Notamacropus eugenii: one gene and its partner. The protein of the gene in region 2 interacts with the protein of the main gene of each other region in a biochemical or structural test. Links are inferred from orthologs where the notes say so. Each region holds a gene or a part of one and is shown on either strand. Other genes may lie near its edges.

Region 1 (6,930 bases), on a different chromosome or scaffold from region 2:
AAAATACTTGCAGTATCAGAGGCAGCCTGACAAAGTGGTTAGAGGGTGGACCTTGGAGTCAAGTGGACCTGCGTTCAAATCCTGCCTTGATAACATACCAGCTCTGTGGTCATTGGCAAGTCAATTAATCTGTCAATATCCCAGGCACTTCAGGCTGCTCTCATGCTGGAAGGAGTTTCCGCACAGAGAATTCTCCAATGAATTTGCAGACCTCACCTCTCTCCCTCTGCCAGTGTGCCCACTTCACCGACTTGAGAAGTTCAAATAAGAGGCTGTGTATAAAAGTATTTTTCAAACTTTGACTAGTCAGTCAACAAGCGTTTATTAAGCGCTTCTTATGCATCAGGTACTGTTCTAAGAGCTGGGGATATGTGAAAAAAGGCCTCAAAATGCTACCCAAGAAAAATGATTTTAGGACCCTCTAAGGCAGCTCCCTTCTCCCTGCACTTCAGGGCTTCTCTTACCTGAGTTCAAGGAGCCACACGGTCCAGTGGTGCGCTTTTACATTTAACAACTAGCTCTTGGGGGGAGGGGGGTGTGGGGAGAGAATGACACACCTTTAGGGATCATCTGTGTCTTTGACACTTTCTCCATTACTTTGTTAGTTCTGGGCTATCATCAAAACAAAAAATCGAGCCCCTATTCATGGATTTTGCTGATTTCCAAAGTGTAAGCATTCACACTGAAAACATAACAATTGATTTTCAGGAGCTGGCTTCAGCAACCCCCTGGAGCCACCGGAGTAGAGATGGGTTCCCTAAGTTTTCCTCTTCTACTTCGGGTTTATACAGAACTTGCTGGGCTAGGGGGTGGGGTGTATCTTATTCACAACTCAATTCCAGTATTACACTCATGACCAGCCTGGACAGAACTATGAAATTGGAGGAGTTTGTCTTCAGCACTTTCCCACCTCTTCTCTGAGGAAGTGGAAAGGGTGACCTTTGCCCTCATGAGCATTCCAAGTGCCCTCCTCCCAAGACACACACACACACACACAAACTCAAACCCCATTCTTCCATAATTAATATTAACTAATTCATTCAGCAATCATTTATCAAGTACCTAGTATGTGAAATAAATTGTATTAGACAATGGAATAAATCCAAAGATAGATAAGAGAGCGTTGATGCCCTTGTGGGAACTTCAATGATTGTTTCAACCTCAGGGATGTTTTTCATTTTAGGACGACATGATCTCTTAACTAGAGAGACAGATGTTCTAATGGTGGAATATCAGAGAGTTACAATGAAATTAGCCTAGGATTCTTGTTGTACCCTCTAAGTCTTTTCTGCCAGTCTTAGTATTCTAGAAGGTAACTTCCCCTGAGGGTATCATATCTCTGGCTTTCCTTAGCAGAAGGCCCCCTGGGAGGGAGGATGTGTGTGTGCGTATGTGTGTGTGTGTGGGCAGGCAGCATCCCTATTTTTCTCATGGTGAATCATAGTGTTGTAAAAATTCATGACCCTGAGGCAGAAATCTGCCTTGTAGATAGGAAGTCCTTAAAGGATCTCAATTCTTCTTTTCTTTTAAAAATTAGGATTCTGAAATAACTGGACAAAAAGGACTAGATGCACATATACATTCTAACCATTACTCCCAAATCTTCTTCCATCTTCACTAATGTAAACAGGATAAAAGATTTAGAGCTAGAAGGAATCTCTGAGATCATCTGGTCCAAATCCCTCATTTTTCAGAGGATGAGACTGAGGCTAAGGAAGGCAGAAGGGAATTCCCAAAGGTCATTCAGAAAATAAGTGGCAGAACTGGATTCAAACTCATATCCTTAACTCCAAATCCAGTATTTTATTTGATTACACTCTATAGACATAATTAATTTTTCCATTCTGCCCTTTGTTCTGCTTTTTCTCACTTTACCTGATTCCAAAGGTATCTTGATAGAGGGCTAACCTTTGGAGTCAGGAAGATCTGACTTAAATTCTGCCTCTGACATGTACTAGCTGAGTAAGCGTGGACTAGGCACTTTCTCAGTAGCCCAGGCAAACTCTCTTATGAGAAACTGTTCATTGTTTCCATAGGGAGAGTTCTTTATAGATTGAAAGGTATCTTGAACATGGTCTAGTTCAACTTCCTAATTTATAATTGGGAAAATGAGAGGAAGGAAGGGGAAGTGATTGGTCCAAAGGTCCCACAGACAGTAAGTACGCATGTCTACTTCACTTCTCCCCCAACAATCAACATATTTCAGATGACCATTCCACAAGGCTCCATGATCCACATGCTTGTCATTTTCGATAGCTCCATGGTGTTCCATTAAGTTCCTATACAGCAGATTGTTTAACCTTTGCCTTACCATTGGACAATGAAGTTGTTTTTAATTTTTCATAGCCCTGCTGGGTACCTCTTCTTTTCCTCCTATTGACTTAGTTCCTTGGGATCTAGATTTGCTCATGAGGCTGATAGCCTGTTTGAAAGGGGTGGTAAAGCAGAAGGCTAGACAATACTCCCTTTCCTGGGTTTCTAGGCAGTTGCTGCATCCCTACTTTCTCCACCATTATAGCCTAGATCAGGGCATGCACACAGCCCGAAATCCCAATACGAACTACTGACTTGGAGCAGGCAACCCAGGAAGGGTGTGTGGAGAGAGCAAATGGTTTCTGAGCAATAGCGGCAGAGCCAGCCCCCTCCTGTATGAAAAGGAGGGGACACATTGGCAGGAGACTTAAAAACAAACAAACCTTCTTTGAATGACAAATTCAAAGGGGAGGATGGATTATCGAAACAAAAAAAACACATGCATGAATATGGATGCTGGCACACGCGCGCACACACATGCTAGACTGCCTCTAAGATGCCGATAAAATGACTATGGTCATACCTTGTGTGAGAAAGGTGATGGGACATGGGAAGTAATTAGGGATTCAATCAGAAATGCCCAGTACATACCCGTAATTTGATAATGTTGAACTGCCATCACTCCAAGATCCACATGAGGAGTCACATAATGGAGCAGTGACCCCACCAGAGAGGGGGCATCGAGGGGCCCTTGGCAAACCCCTTAATGAAGGTTAATGAACAAGGTGATGGAGGGGACTTGTAAAGGGAGTGCCTGGAGCTGTGGTGTCACTTTCCTCTTTGTTGGGTGTGCATCAGCAGGCGGTGACTTGTCAGAGAGGGCTGAAGGAGGTTGCTAGGTAACCAGGCAGGATGTGGGAGAGGAGACCCTCACTCTTCTCTCTAGCCAGTGTGGGGGAAGCAGGCTGTAGGAGGGCAGGGGTTCTCTGGCAGTCATTCTTTCTCCCAGAATGCAAAACAAATTCCCAACAGGGCAGGGCCCAAAGGTTGGTAGAGGGAGGAGACTGCCCCGAGGAGAAGTAAGCTGCTGAATTAAGGGTAGAGGTTTTTAACCTCTTCTGTGTGTCATGGCCCCCTCCAGCAGTCTGGAAAGCCTACGAAACCCCTTCTCCGAATAAGGTTTTTAAATACAGAAAATAATATACATAGCATCACAAAGCAAACTAATTATATGAAATTCAGTTATCAAAAGATACATTTTTTTTTTAAAACAAGATCGCAGACCCCAGGGGAAGAACCTGATATAGGTTAAAATAAGGGAAAGAACAAAAAAGGAAACATATCCCCCTATAAAAACATAGGCTTAAAGGGTTAAAAAGGGGGAAAGGGAGAAAGGTCAAGAAGAGAAGAGATATCTTTATCAGGGAGGGCAGCGGCTTTGTCTTTGGCCTTGATGTGGCTGTGTGCTGTGGGTAGTGTGAAAGAGGATGTTGCCTGGACTTGGAGGCCTTGGATTTCAATCCAAGCTCCACTGCTTTTCACTTGTGTGTCCTTGGGCAAATTCCATAACATGTCTGGATCTTAGTTCCCTCCTTAGGGTCTCTGAGTCTTACAAACTTGAGTAATAACTGATGAGAAAGTCATGAGACCAGACTTTTGTTGATTTTGAATAAGTATTCTAGAACGTTTGGAGGTTCTGAAATCCACCTAAATCAGGTCCTTAATTTTTTTTGAGTCAGAGATCCCTTTGTCAGTCTGGTGAAACCGGGACTCCTTAGTATACTGGTTTTATACCATCAAAGAATGTAAGATTTGGAAAGGAAATCAATTAGATTGAAATGTAGTTATCAAAATATGGTCATGGACTCCAGGTTAAGAACTCCTGCTCTAAGTATTAAAGTAATCTCCCAATGGTGCTGTGCTGTACTGACCAGAACCTATAACATTTGAGACCTCAAATTGAAAGAGACTTTAGAAGTCACAGTCCCAAATCCTCATTTTACAGAACTGTGGTCTAGAAAAGAGAATTGACTTTAAATGCTTACAAAGTAAGTAAAATGTAATGGAGGTTCAGAGTCAGGATTGGAACTCAGAACTCCAGACCCAGAATGTTTCCTACTGTACTACTCTCCCAATACAGACAAATGAATGTTGGAAAAATTCCCGAGTCTTTAACCTTTGGAAATCAACTTCACCTGATCAGAGAGGACGAGGGAAAAAACCCTCATTCCAAAATACTATTTGTGAAAAGAAAATTAAACAACAAAACAAAAGGGCAATCAATCCCTCAAATAACAGCACAGTGGAACTTCCTCTTCTCTCTCAGACTCTGGAGGCTTTCATTTTCAAAGAAGTAGTCAAATGACTGATGAGGGGGCATAGCCTGGGAACCTGAGCCTGGGATGCTATCAGATAGAAAACTGGGAAGATTCTGCTTCAGACAGAACCACGATCCAGAGAGTTTGGGAACAATAATAGGGTCTGAACTGCCCTGTCCATATTTTTCCCTATGTGATACCTTTCCTATAAACATGGGTTACCTACTTGTGTCTCACTTACCCAACAGATGGAAAAGTGGAAAAGTGATGGGGCTCTACCCATACTTGAAGCCAGAGTGCATCCAAGGACACTTACCAAAACAATTTTCTGAGTATATAGTCACTGCCTTCATTTTTAGGAGAACCAGTGCAAGGCTTGGAGAAGCTTCCCCGTTATCTTTCTTCTGATATAGCTTCTTTCCCATAGTTGGCCTTACCAATGCTGCCCTAAACTGATTTGGGTTAATCTAAGGGAGATGTTCTAAATCTAGCGTGGACATGTCCCCAAATGGTCTATGGATATATTTCAGAGGATCCATGAACTTGGATGGGGAAAAGTTTCTATCTTTGTTTCAGCATAATTAGTTTGTTGTGTAATCTTTTTTAAAATTGTATTTTATGTATTTATACATATTATTCAGAGATAGAGTCAGTCAGTCCATAGACGTCACCAAATTGCCAAAGAGGTGTCAATACCAACAACAACAAAAAAAGGTTCAGCATCCCTCTTCCTCAAGGAGCTCACTTTCTAATGGGGAAGACAACATGCAAACTCTTTACAGAAAAAGAAGGAAAAAAGGATGAATTGCAATTAATAATATAATAGTATAATATTAATTTCTCTTAAGGTTTTATTTAGTCCCTCAGGTAATCAGACTTCCTATTATACCCTCTTTCTAATTAAAATGCATTTTAACCTAGTAAATGGGAACAGCAATTTATAACTTATTTTAAGTGAAATTGGGTGATTTGGTTGATTTACTCATAGGACCTCCCCTCTGCCTGACAGATGCAACATTTTAAATTTCTATTGAAGTCACATTCCTGGAAGTTATTTGGGGTTAGAATTTTCCTATCACCAAACTTCCTGAGGGCAGTGCTTTTACCAATACATTCAAGACTTGTTGGTCAGAGCCACATCATCCATGTAGTGAGATAGTATCCACAAAAGCAGGCCAGGCCAATTCTTAGGAGGCCAGGCCAATCAATGGGCATCATTTCCTCTCATTGCAGAAAAGTGTAAAATGTGCAGGTTCCCAAACTAACCAGAAAGCCAATGCCTTAAACTGTGCTCCTTTAGTGAGTCCATTATGGTCAACCTCTTCATATTAGTGTAGCCATATTCTCAACCAAAAAATAGAATAATTATCTCCAAAGAGTACTTGATAATGTGTCTTTTGTGTGTACTGTCCTCATGAAGTAATACAGACATATATTTCTTCTGTCCACACCTTCTTTCTCTCTTTCCTGGGCCATTCTTCTAACCCTGGAGGCCAGGACTGGTCCTGGAGTCAGGAAGCACAGAGTTCAAATCATGCCTCAGTCCCTTACTAGCTGATGGCCCTGGGTAAGACATTTAATCTCTGTTTGCTTTAGTTTCCTCAATGGTAAAACAGGGCTAATGAGAGCACCCAGCTCTCAGAGTTGTTGTGAGGATCAAATGAGATAGAATGTGTAAAGTGCTTAGCCTGGCACATAGTAGGCACTAATAAGTCCTTCCTCCCTCCCTCCCTTCCTTCTTTCTTCTATTCAAAATTCCCCCAAATTTTCAGAAGACTGAAGGTAAAATGGTCCCTAGGAACTTAAAAAAAAAATTAAAAACACTAATAGCAGGATATTTGGTAAAGATTCATTTTAATGTGTTAGCAGATCCATTTATTCATAAAGTTTCACTGGTATTAAAAAAAATTACACCACAGTCAATGACTGATATTACTACTGCCATCATAAAAATCTCCCCAGTAACAAAGAAAAAAATTACAGTCAATAGACACAGAAACCAAGCCTGATAGCATGGCACATTCTCTCCTCAATGGTCCCCTCTATCTCTCTAACTCTACCGGTGGAGGGAAATACGTTGAATTATCCTTCAGAACCAAGATCGGTTGTTTCATCAGGTTTTAGTGTTGTTTTCCTTTCCATCACTGTAGTCATTGCAAAGCTGGTAGGATCTAGGTGACTCACTTAAAAGAAACTCTTTGGATTCTTTGTGGTACCAAAAACATCGGAAACAAAGTAGATGTTAACTGGGAATATAAGTAAGAAATAATGGATATGAGGATTTCAGAGAAACACTGGACAACTTGTGGGAATTGGAAGTAATATGCAAATTAAAACACTCAAATGAAGACACGCTGAA
Region 2 (8,050 bases):
GTTATAAAGATCCCAGGTCTAAGGGGAGGGGAGACTATGGATAATGATAAGTCAAATAATTACAATAATAAAAGAATGCAAATGAAAAGCTATTTAAAAACCAATTGGAAGAGGGAAGGACATTGTAGTGGAATCAGAGAAGGCCTATGATCCCAGTCCTGATTCTGACATTGGCTATGGAGGCCCCTTTTCATTCTAAGATTAGTATATATCCTATGTATTTTACAGGGTTTCTCTGAGGATAGCACATTCTAACCTAAAAAGCACCAAATAAATGCGAACTCTGGAGCTATCCTCAGTCTCATTTCAATACTCGAAGTTCTTAGGCAGAAACAGGACAATCACTTCTCAGGGATACTGAAAACCTGACCAGCTCACTCTTGGTAGTGTTAAGACCAATGATCAATGAATGTCCCTTCTAACTCTGCATCTCTGATATTCTAAAAGTAATCCTGAAATGAAAAGTGTTTTCTCTTTTCTCACTAAACCATGTTCTACTAATTCAGTGTGGCATCTGAAAAGAGTAACTGAGCAACTTACAACTGAATGAATATATGTAAGAATTTTCTAACAAAGCAAGGTCAGAAGATAGTAAATTCCCTATCAAAATATCAAATGGAGGTATTCAACCCAGAACTTGAACTTAGCAGAGATGGGGATGAAAGAGAGGGGGAAGTCATTAATCAGACAGGAGGTAAGCCTAGAAGACTTTCAAGATCCATTCTAAATATATGATTCAAAGTGACTTGCCCAAAGTTACCTAGAAAAGTAACAGATACAGAACCAGAGCAGGTCTTCCAACCCCTAATCCAAATATTAACAAAACTAAGCAAAATCTTACCTATTCTCATTATTGTACTTTGCATACTATGATACAAAGTGATCCTCAAGTTTTAAGACAAATTGTAAAGAACTCTCACTTTGAATTGTTTAAGTTGAGAACCTAGGGAGGATACCAAGAAATCAGAAAGAATTTGCTTTAAGGTCTCTAAGCACAATGTGTAAAATGTTTCTATACCATCTCTCTCAAACACAGCACTCTAAACTCATCAACTAAGATTTAAAACTCATTCATTTCTTCAGTGCCTTGATGAAAATAACATCAAAGCATAATTAAATAGGTTTTTCTTTTTGGTGCTAGGAGCTGTGTCTCCCTCTTAAAACAATATTTAAAATAACATCAAGTAATCAGATACCTAATATTACACTTTGAAGATGTATGATACCAAGACCTTACTAATCATAGCAACTCTTGCGATGTAAGTAAGTATTTTCTCCTCCCTGAAATGGGGACAAGTGAGGGGGAGATTTAGTTTGTTGCCGAAGGTCACCTGGTGAATCACTGGAGAGCCAGGATAAACTTGAAGTTCTTGGCTCTAACCACTAAACATGGTGGCAAAAATCTCAAAGCCACCCAATAAGAATACACTTTTTAAAAATGAGATGACACTCGGGGTCCGCAGAAAAATTCCTGCCAACGTAGACGAGGCAGTTGACCTCTGTGCTAATCACTTTAGTTACCTGCACATGTTCATAATCACCTTCCAAGAAAAAAATAAAACCATAAATTACAGTAACAAACAAAATAATCACGGGTTATCCTTCCACAATAAAGACAATTGTAACTAATTAATTAGTTGTAATGGCACTGGAAAGAAAGAAAGCAAACCAACGACTAGATCCGCGAGAAGGGTCCTTCCCAGAAACCTTGTATTAGCTATCATAATTACCCACAACAGACACAATCAAACGCTACCAGTCAATCTGCAGGGAAACACGATAAAATAATCCTTCTAAATGAGTGATTCTGCTATTAATTTCATGAAAGAGACTAAAGACGGCTCCAGGGGGCATTTCACGTGTCTTCACAGGCACCAGGGACAAACCGAGGAGAAATACCAGCCGGGTACTGATCCTGCGGTAGGGGAAACCCATGCCTGGGGCAGTTCTCCCGTCTCCACCTCGTGCCCCAAGAATGAATGCCTCAGGAAGGGAGGCCGGGGCAAGCCCACCCCGACCCAGAGGATGGAGGGGGAAGGCCCCATGGGGGCTGGGGAGGCCTGCGCCCCGGCTCTCGCGTGGGTCAAATGCGGCCTCCCGGCTGCAGCCCCACGTCCCAGACGACCATTCCCGGCCCCCGCCGGGGCACGAGCAGGCGATGGGGGCCCCCCAGGCCGGGCCCCCCACTTCCTGTCACTGGCACCGCCGGACCCCGGCGCCTCCGCCTTCACGGGCGCCCCCCAACGCCCGCAGCCTAACCGGGCTCCAGCTGACAGCCCAGCCCGGGGGCCAAGGCCACGGGCAGGTCGGAGCGGCCCCAGGTCCGGGCCGCCCCTCTCCCTCCTCACGCACCTCCGCGACCCGACACGGCGTTTTGGCGCCAAATGTCCCGGGGAGCGGGGAGGGCGGCAGCGGCAGCTACGCCGGACGGGGCCCTCGCGGACCGACGCCCCCGGAGGGGACCCGCGGCCGCGAGCCCCGCCAACGGCCAACCGCCGGGGCGCGCGAGCCCCGCGCCCCGACTTGGAGCCCGACCCGCCTCCGGCCCGGCCTGTCAGGCGGCCCGCGCGACGCTACACCGGCCCAGCCAGGCCCAGCGCGGCCCGAGCCCCGGCAGTCCGGGGGCGAGCGGCACTTACCGTCTGCGGACCTCCTCCGGCAGCGGGAGCCCGGGCGAGCCCGGCGCGGCCACCGGGGCCGGACCGGTGCGGGCGGGCATCTCGCGGGTCCGAGTGGGGAGCAGGGAGCGGGCCGGGGGACGGAAGGGAGCCGGCTCCGGTCGCGCAGGGGCTAGCGCGCGGACCGCCGGCTTTTCGCGCGGAAACCAGAACCGCCGAGAGGGGAGGGGGAAGGGGGAGAGGAGAGGGATATACCAACTGGGAAGGGGGTGGCTGGCCGGCGACGGGGTGCGGGAGCCGAAGCGACCATTCCGGGAAGGACGGTACCAAATGTAAGTCCCGGCGGGGGGAGGCAATTGGAAATGGAGGCCCCCGCCCCCCGCTCCGACTCCCCTCCCCTCCGGGGCAGTCCCTTCGGCTCCCCGCCTCACGCGGTGCTGCAGGGGGAGGGGGAAGGAGGAGGTCGGTGGGCGTCATCCCGTGGTGCCCGAGGGGAGAGAGGAGCGGCCTGTACCATCGGCGGCGAAGAGAGAGGGGGAGAAGAAATGGACTGGCCCAACGTGCCTCTCGGGAGCTCCGAGCCTAGGATGAAGAAGAGGGGAAAGGCAGCCATTAGATCCTGAGCCCTGCAGAGGAGGATGAGTCCTGGGGACCCAGATCTCCCTCCGGGTGGGAGCTGAAACTCGTCCGCCGCAGCCTGTCTGCTTAGCCTCTGCCTGCTGGTCATCTACTGCCTCCATCCCGGCCGTCCCTTGTCTCGCTAGCCCGGGCTGCTGCGGGGCTGGCCGCTCAGCCCCTACCTGTTTGGGCAGCCCCTGCCTATGGGCAGCCATTCATTCAGTCTTGTTCACTCCTGCCCTCAGTCAGACCGTCTGTCCGGACACTCACCTGTGTGATGGTCACTCCCCGTCAGCGTCCAATACTGCGTGGTGATCTGTGTCAGTCAGTCTGTCTTATCTGTCAGCATCTGTCTGTTCAGTATCAATAACTCTGTCTTATTCAGTCAATGTCCCCATGGTAGGATTGTAGGATTCAGAGCTAGAAGAGACCTTCCAGATCATCTCATCCAACCCCCTTATTTTACAAAGGAGACAACTGAGGCAACGAGGTCAATCAACTTGTGTTGTTAGGCTGGGTCGGTATTAGTCAGTCAATGCAATTCATTAGTTCCTATTATCCATGTGATAATGCTGGATCCCTAGGAGTCAGCAGACTCCAAAATCTTATTGTCGCTGATTAACTGGCCCCCATTCTAGTAAACCTGTGGCTAAGGAATCTTGAAATGACTCAGAAGAAAGTGGTAATTGAGAAAGATACCTGGCCTATAAGAAAGTCTGTTGACAAGCTAAAACACCCCCCAAAACGCAGGATGGACCTGGGTCCCCAGGTTGTTATTATTAGACTCAAAATATTAGTGTTCTCCATTTTCAGAGATTCTTTAAAAAGCTCTGGGCTTGAATCTGAAGCCACCCATCCCATAATTGATCCCTTCTTGGTCACTAAGGGAAAGGAAATTATCCAATGGTCTGGCATTCTAGGCTGTTAATGAGTAAACTTTGGAAAGGTCCCTGCCTAGCCTGGGTGGAAAAGATGTGCAGAACTAGAAAAGGCTTCAACTAGCCTGAGAGTTTGAACAATGCTTCCTGTTCCCAATTACAACCGCCTGCTGTGTTCCCAAGGGTAGAGGCAGAGTTCAGAAGTGGATCAAGAATCTGAGTTTCAGCCAAACCAAGGTCAGACTCAGTGGGAAATGTACATTGCCAGTGACATAGTGGTCAGTCAGCCAGGAGACCAGTGGAGCTGAGTCACCAACAGTGCAGTAGGTTTAGTCACCCACATGGACTGACAGCTTTACTGAGCTCCCTCTCCCAAAGGTAGAGGAGAGTAAATGTAAACAAGTGCAGGGGCCCAGAACTGACAGCACCACCCCTTCTCAGCCCAACAGAACCACATCAGCCTGCAGGGTGTCTGCTCCTGGGATTTGCCCGATCCTGTTCCCATATCTCTGACTCAAAAGACCTGTAGAGATGAATTTTGCACAAACTGATGCCCTCACTGAAATGTAGCAGAAAAAAACAGGTGGAATACCCCCTCTTACCTGCTGAACTGGGTATTCTAGTCTTGTCTGGGGCCCAGAAAAGGCTTGAGAGGTGTGTGTATGGAGGGGTGGGGGATAGGATCAGGTTTCCTGACCTATCCCCAAACTATGACATGGGGTGTGGAACCAGACTTTCTCCAGAACATTTTGTATCCAGGCTCAGTTCCCCACTTTTTTCGGGGTTGGGCTTATGGGAACCACTCCTTCCTCCAGAAAATTGGACATTCCATCTCTGTGGGGCCATTCTGGGTTAAAGAAAACTGACCCAAAAGTCCTTTCCATCACTGGGAGCTGGGGGCAATGTTGCTGCCATTCTACAGAGGGGGAAATTGAGGCACAAAAAAAGAGGGGAACTACAGAACTCAATGGCTCCTTTTAAAATGTGAGTTTCCAAGTTCCATAACCAAGCATCTCTTCAAAACTCCCCCCCACACTTGTAGCCCCACCCAAATGCCATGTGGGATTGTGTCCACTGGAGGAGCTGCTACCCAGTGCCTCTGGCCAACAGCTCAAGTTTCTAAACAAAGTTGTCTCCGAGCTCCCCTTCTTCCTGACCTTAAGGGGGTGGGAGGCCCTGGGAAGGTTTAGTCTAGAAAGAGTGTGCAGCTGGGTCAAGAGAGAACTGTGAGGGTCTTTCTGAAATTCAGCTCTTTTTGTGTCTACATGTATTGGTTTTCTTTTTCTAAATGTACCTTGTGCATGCAGTACACTGTGTCTCCTTTTTTTCTGTGCCTATATATAGGTATACTTGGAAATAAGTATGTGGGTTTGTCTTTGGGTTTGTCTCTTTCCACATATTCCTAAGAGCATTCCTTGTGTCTTTGGTTGTATGTTGCTGAGTGTTAATAGAGAACTAAGGCTTTATGACCTGAAGAATTAATTATTCTTCTTACCACTGTGGGAAACAAGGAAGTTCTGTTTCCACAGTCATGACCTAGGATGGTCAGGTAAAGGTCAGAAACCTCACAGGCTTGATGAGCTGTTTGAAGGAAAGCCCATCACAGAGAACATAAAGTCACATGACCAGGGGACAGTGTCGAGGGAGATCCAAAGTTCGGAAAACAGTATAAGAAGTTCCATTTTCCTGAACGTGTTATAGTCATCCTGTAACCTTACTGGGGAGGCTACCTGTCCATTCAGGGGGAATGGATGGAAGTAAAGATTAATAAAGGCTTTCCTGGCTTCACAACAGGCATTGTTCCTTTTTTAAGGAAAGCATGTTTCTCACAGTTCGGGGCTTGTAAGATGGGCTCATTTCTCACACCACCTTCATCCCAACCCCTGTCCCATCTGTCCTGAACTCTTTCAGAGGAAATCCATGGTTCACCCTTAGGAGCTGCCTCACACTATGCCCAGTGTAAATGGAAGGAACCAAGGAAGTTTTCCTAGGACCCAAGAAGGAGGCTTGACTGGGGAGAGGTTCTGGAGAGACCATTCACTATAGCTATACATCTGGAGCTTTTCTGTGACTGGAGTTGGCAGCCTTTACCTTCCTGTGAGGTTGAGGGGATGTGGGAGTGGTAGTAGTGGTGGTGGTGGTAGATGGGTAGAAAACCACTGCTCTTCTTTTCCCCCAAAATTCTGGTCTTTATTGGTGGCTGGAAAGGATGCTAGGGACCTGGATACCTGCGTTCTTCTCAGCTGTCCTTGGCAAGATGTGGTCCTGCCCTGTGCTTCAGTTTCCTCAGAATCCTCTATTGAGGCTGAAGAGGGCAAAAGGCTTTGTCCTAGAGGAATGCCCTGCTAATGGGGGGAGGTGGGGAGGAAATCTGTCTCTTCAGGGAGTGGCCCAATATGTATCAAACCAGCCTCCTGAGAACATGGTGTTCCTGACTTTCTCGAGTGTCCATTCAGCTCTCCTGTCCTACTGACAAAGCCATATGGAAAAGTCCCTGGATAGCAGTAAGTGGTAGGGATCAATAAAATCATTACAGTCAGTTTTCTTTGGGGGATGGCTATCCAGAGTGAAGGACAAGCCTGTGGGGGGGTCTGTCACTGACCTTCTGTTCTTAGAAGCACCAAGATCCTGTCTTTGGAGTATGGGGAGGGACCTGGCAGAAGCAAGAGAGGAGGAGGGTTTCTAGGGCAGCAGAGTCAACAAGTCAACAGGTAGCCTAGGGAGGCTGAGAAAAAAGGCAGGCTGGGGTTGGAGTGGCCTCTCCAGCTCAGACAGCCCCACCCCCCCCACCTCCCCCAGCAAGGAAAGAATGTGTGTGTAGAGGGGCCTACCCCTCAAAGCCTGAAGGATAAAAGTCTTATTTCGCCTTTAGAAGCAGTACCCAAGCAGAAGACAGGGCTCAAAGTGGAAACTCTGAGAGAAGTCAAACTGAACCATTTAATCAGCCCAAGGTCAGAGGCTGAGGGAAGGGAGAGGCATGAGGGATTTCCCAAGAAGGCAGACATAATACAGGGTTTGTTCCTCTCTCTTCTTTTTATCTTCATTGCAGTTGTCTTTGGCAAAAAGTCTCCTCTCAAGAGTCCTATTAGGAAGGACCCTTTTGCCCGATTAGTGGACTATAGGTAGCCAGCAAGATCCCTGCCCCCTCCCACCCCCAATGGGAATGACTTCCTTGTCATAACACAAAAAGCATTAGACGGGAAGGAGAGAACTGTTTCCCCCTCCCCTTGAGTTTTCAACAAAGACCAGAGAAACAAAAATGTGGAATATTCGAACTACAAGTCACTGAGGAAAAACAAGGGAGTGGAGGGATGGAGACACACATACACACACAGAAGCACTCGTACTCTCACAGGCATAAATATACATGGTCACTCGTACCGTTTGATTCCCTTTCATCCACAGGATTCCAGGTTTTCTTCTGCAGAGTTGGGGGTAGGGAGGGGGAGCAGCCTCAGGGCATTTATTCTTCCAATTTCATCTGACTTGAACTGGGCAATAGCCATTCTGCTAGGGTTAAAGGTCTCACATGTTCTAGGGGATTTGATACCTTGTGGGAGCTAGTAAAGGATGGATAACTAGGGAGGAAAGCTGGGAGTAGGGAACGGGGACTGAGCTTGGGGTCCACAGTGAGAGTAGCATATAACCCCCACAAGAGCTAACCCCAGCTTTTTCACCCCTAATATGGGATGTCAAGAATACTCCCCTATTCCCAAACTGGTCTAACAAGTGAGTCGGGGAGGTGACAGGAAAAGACCTCCAGAAGAACCTGGCTCCTAGGGGGAGGTCTTCAACAGACTGGCCTCCTCCCTGTTCCCCTAATCCTCCAAGTCAAGTCTTTGGGACCTCAGTGTCTTCTCTCTTTATTCTCCACCCCACAACAGTGTACTTAGCCACAGAAGCCCAAGAATGGTGCTTGGCAGCCCTCCCCCTTCC

What was found.
Region 1: of the proteins of DNA (cytosine-5)-methyltransferase 1 (region 2) and SETD7, one has a biochemical effect on the other in vitro, tested with the Homo sapiens proteins (2 studies listed by BioGRID and IntAct, with this or other methods). The link is inferred for Notamacropus eugenii from reciprocal best matches to the Homo sapiens genes DNMT1 and SETD7.

Annotation. Positions count from the first base shown.
Region 1 is NC_092877.1:136,236,916-136,243,845, forward strand, and holds the start of SETD7 (histone-lysine N-methyltransferase SETD7), read right to left. Parts: upstream 3,045-6,930; 5' UTR 2,905-3,044; intron 1-2,904. UniProt on the Homo sapiens protein: Histone methyltransferase that specifically monomethylates 'Lys-4' of histone H3. H3 'Lys-4' methylation represents a specific tag for epigenetic transcriptional activation.
Region 2 is NC_092875.1:79,919,992-79,928,041, reverse strand, and holds the start of DNA (cytosine-5)-methyltransferase 1, read right to left. Parts: upstream 3,078-8,050; 5' UTR 2,720-3,077; coding exon 2,640-2,719; intron 2,437-2,639; exon of another isoform or gene 2,353-2,436; intron 1-2,352. UniProt on the Homo sapiens protein: Methylates CpG residues. Preferentially methylates hemimethylated DNA. Associates with DNA replication sites in S phase maintaining the methylation pattern in the newly synthesized strand, that is essential for epigenetic inheritance.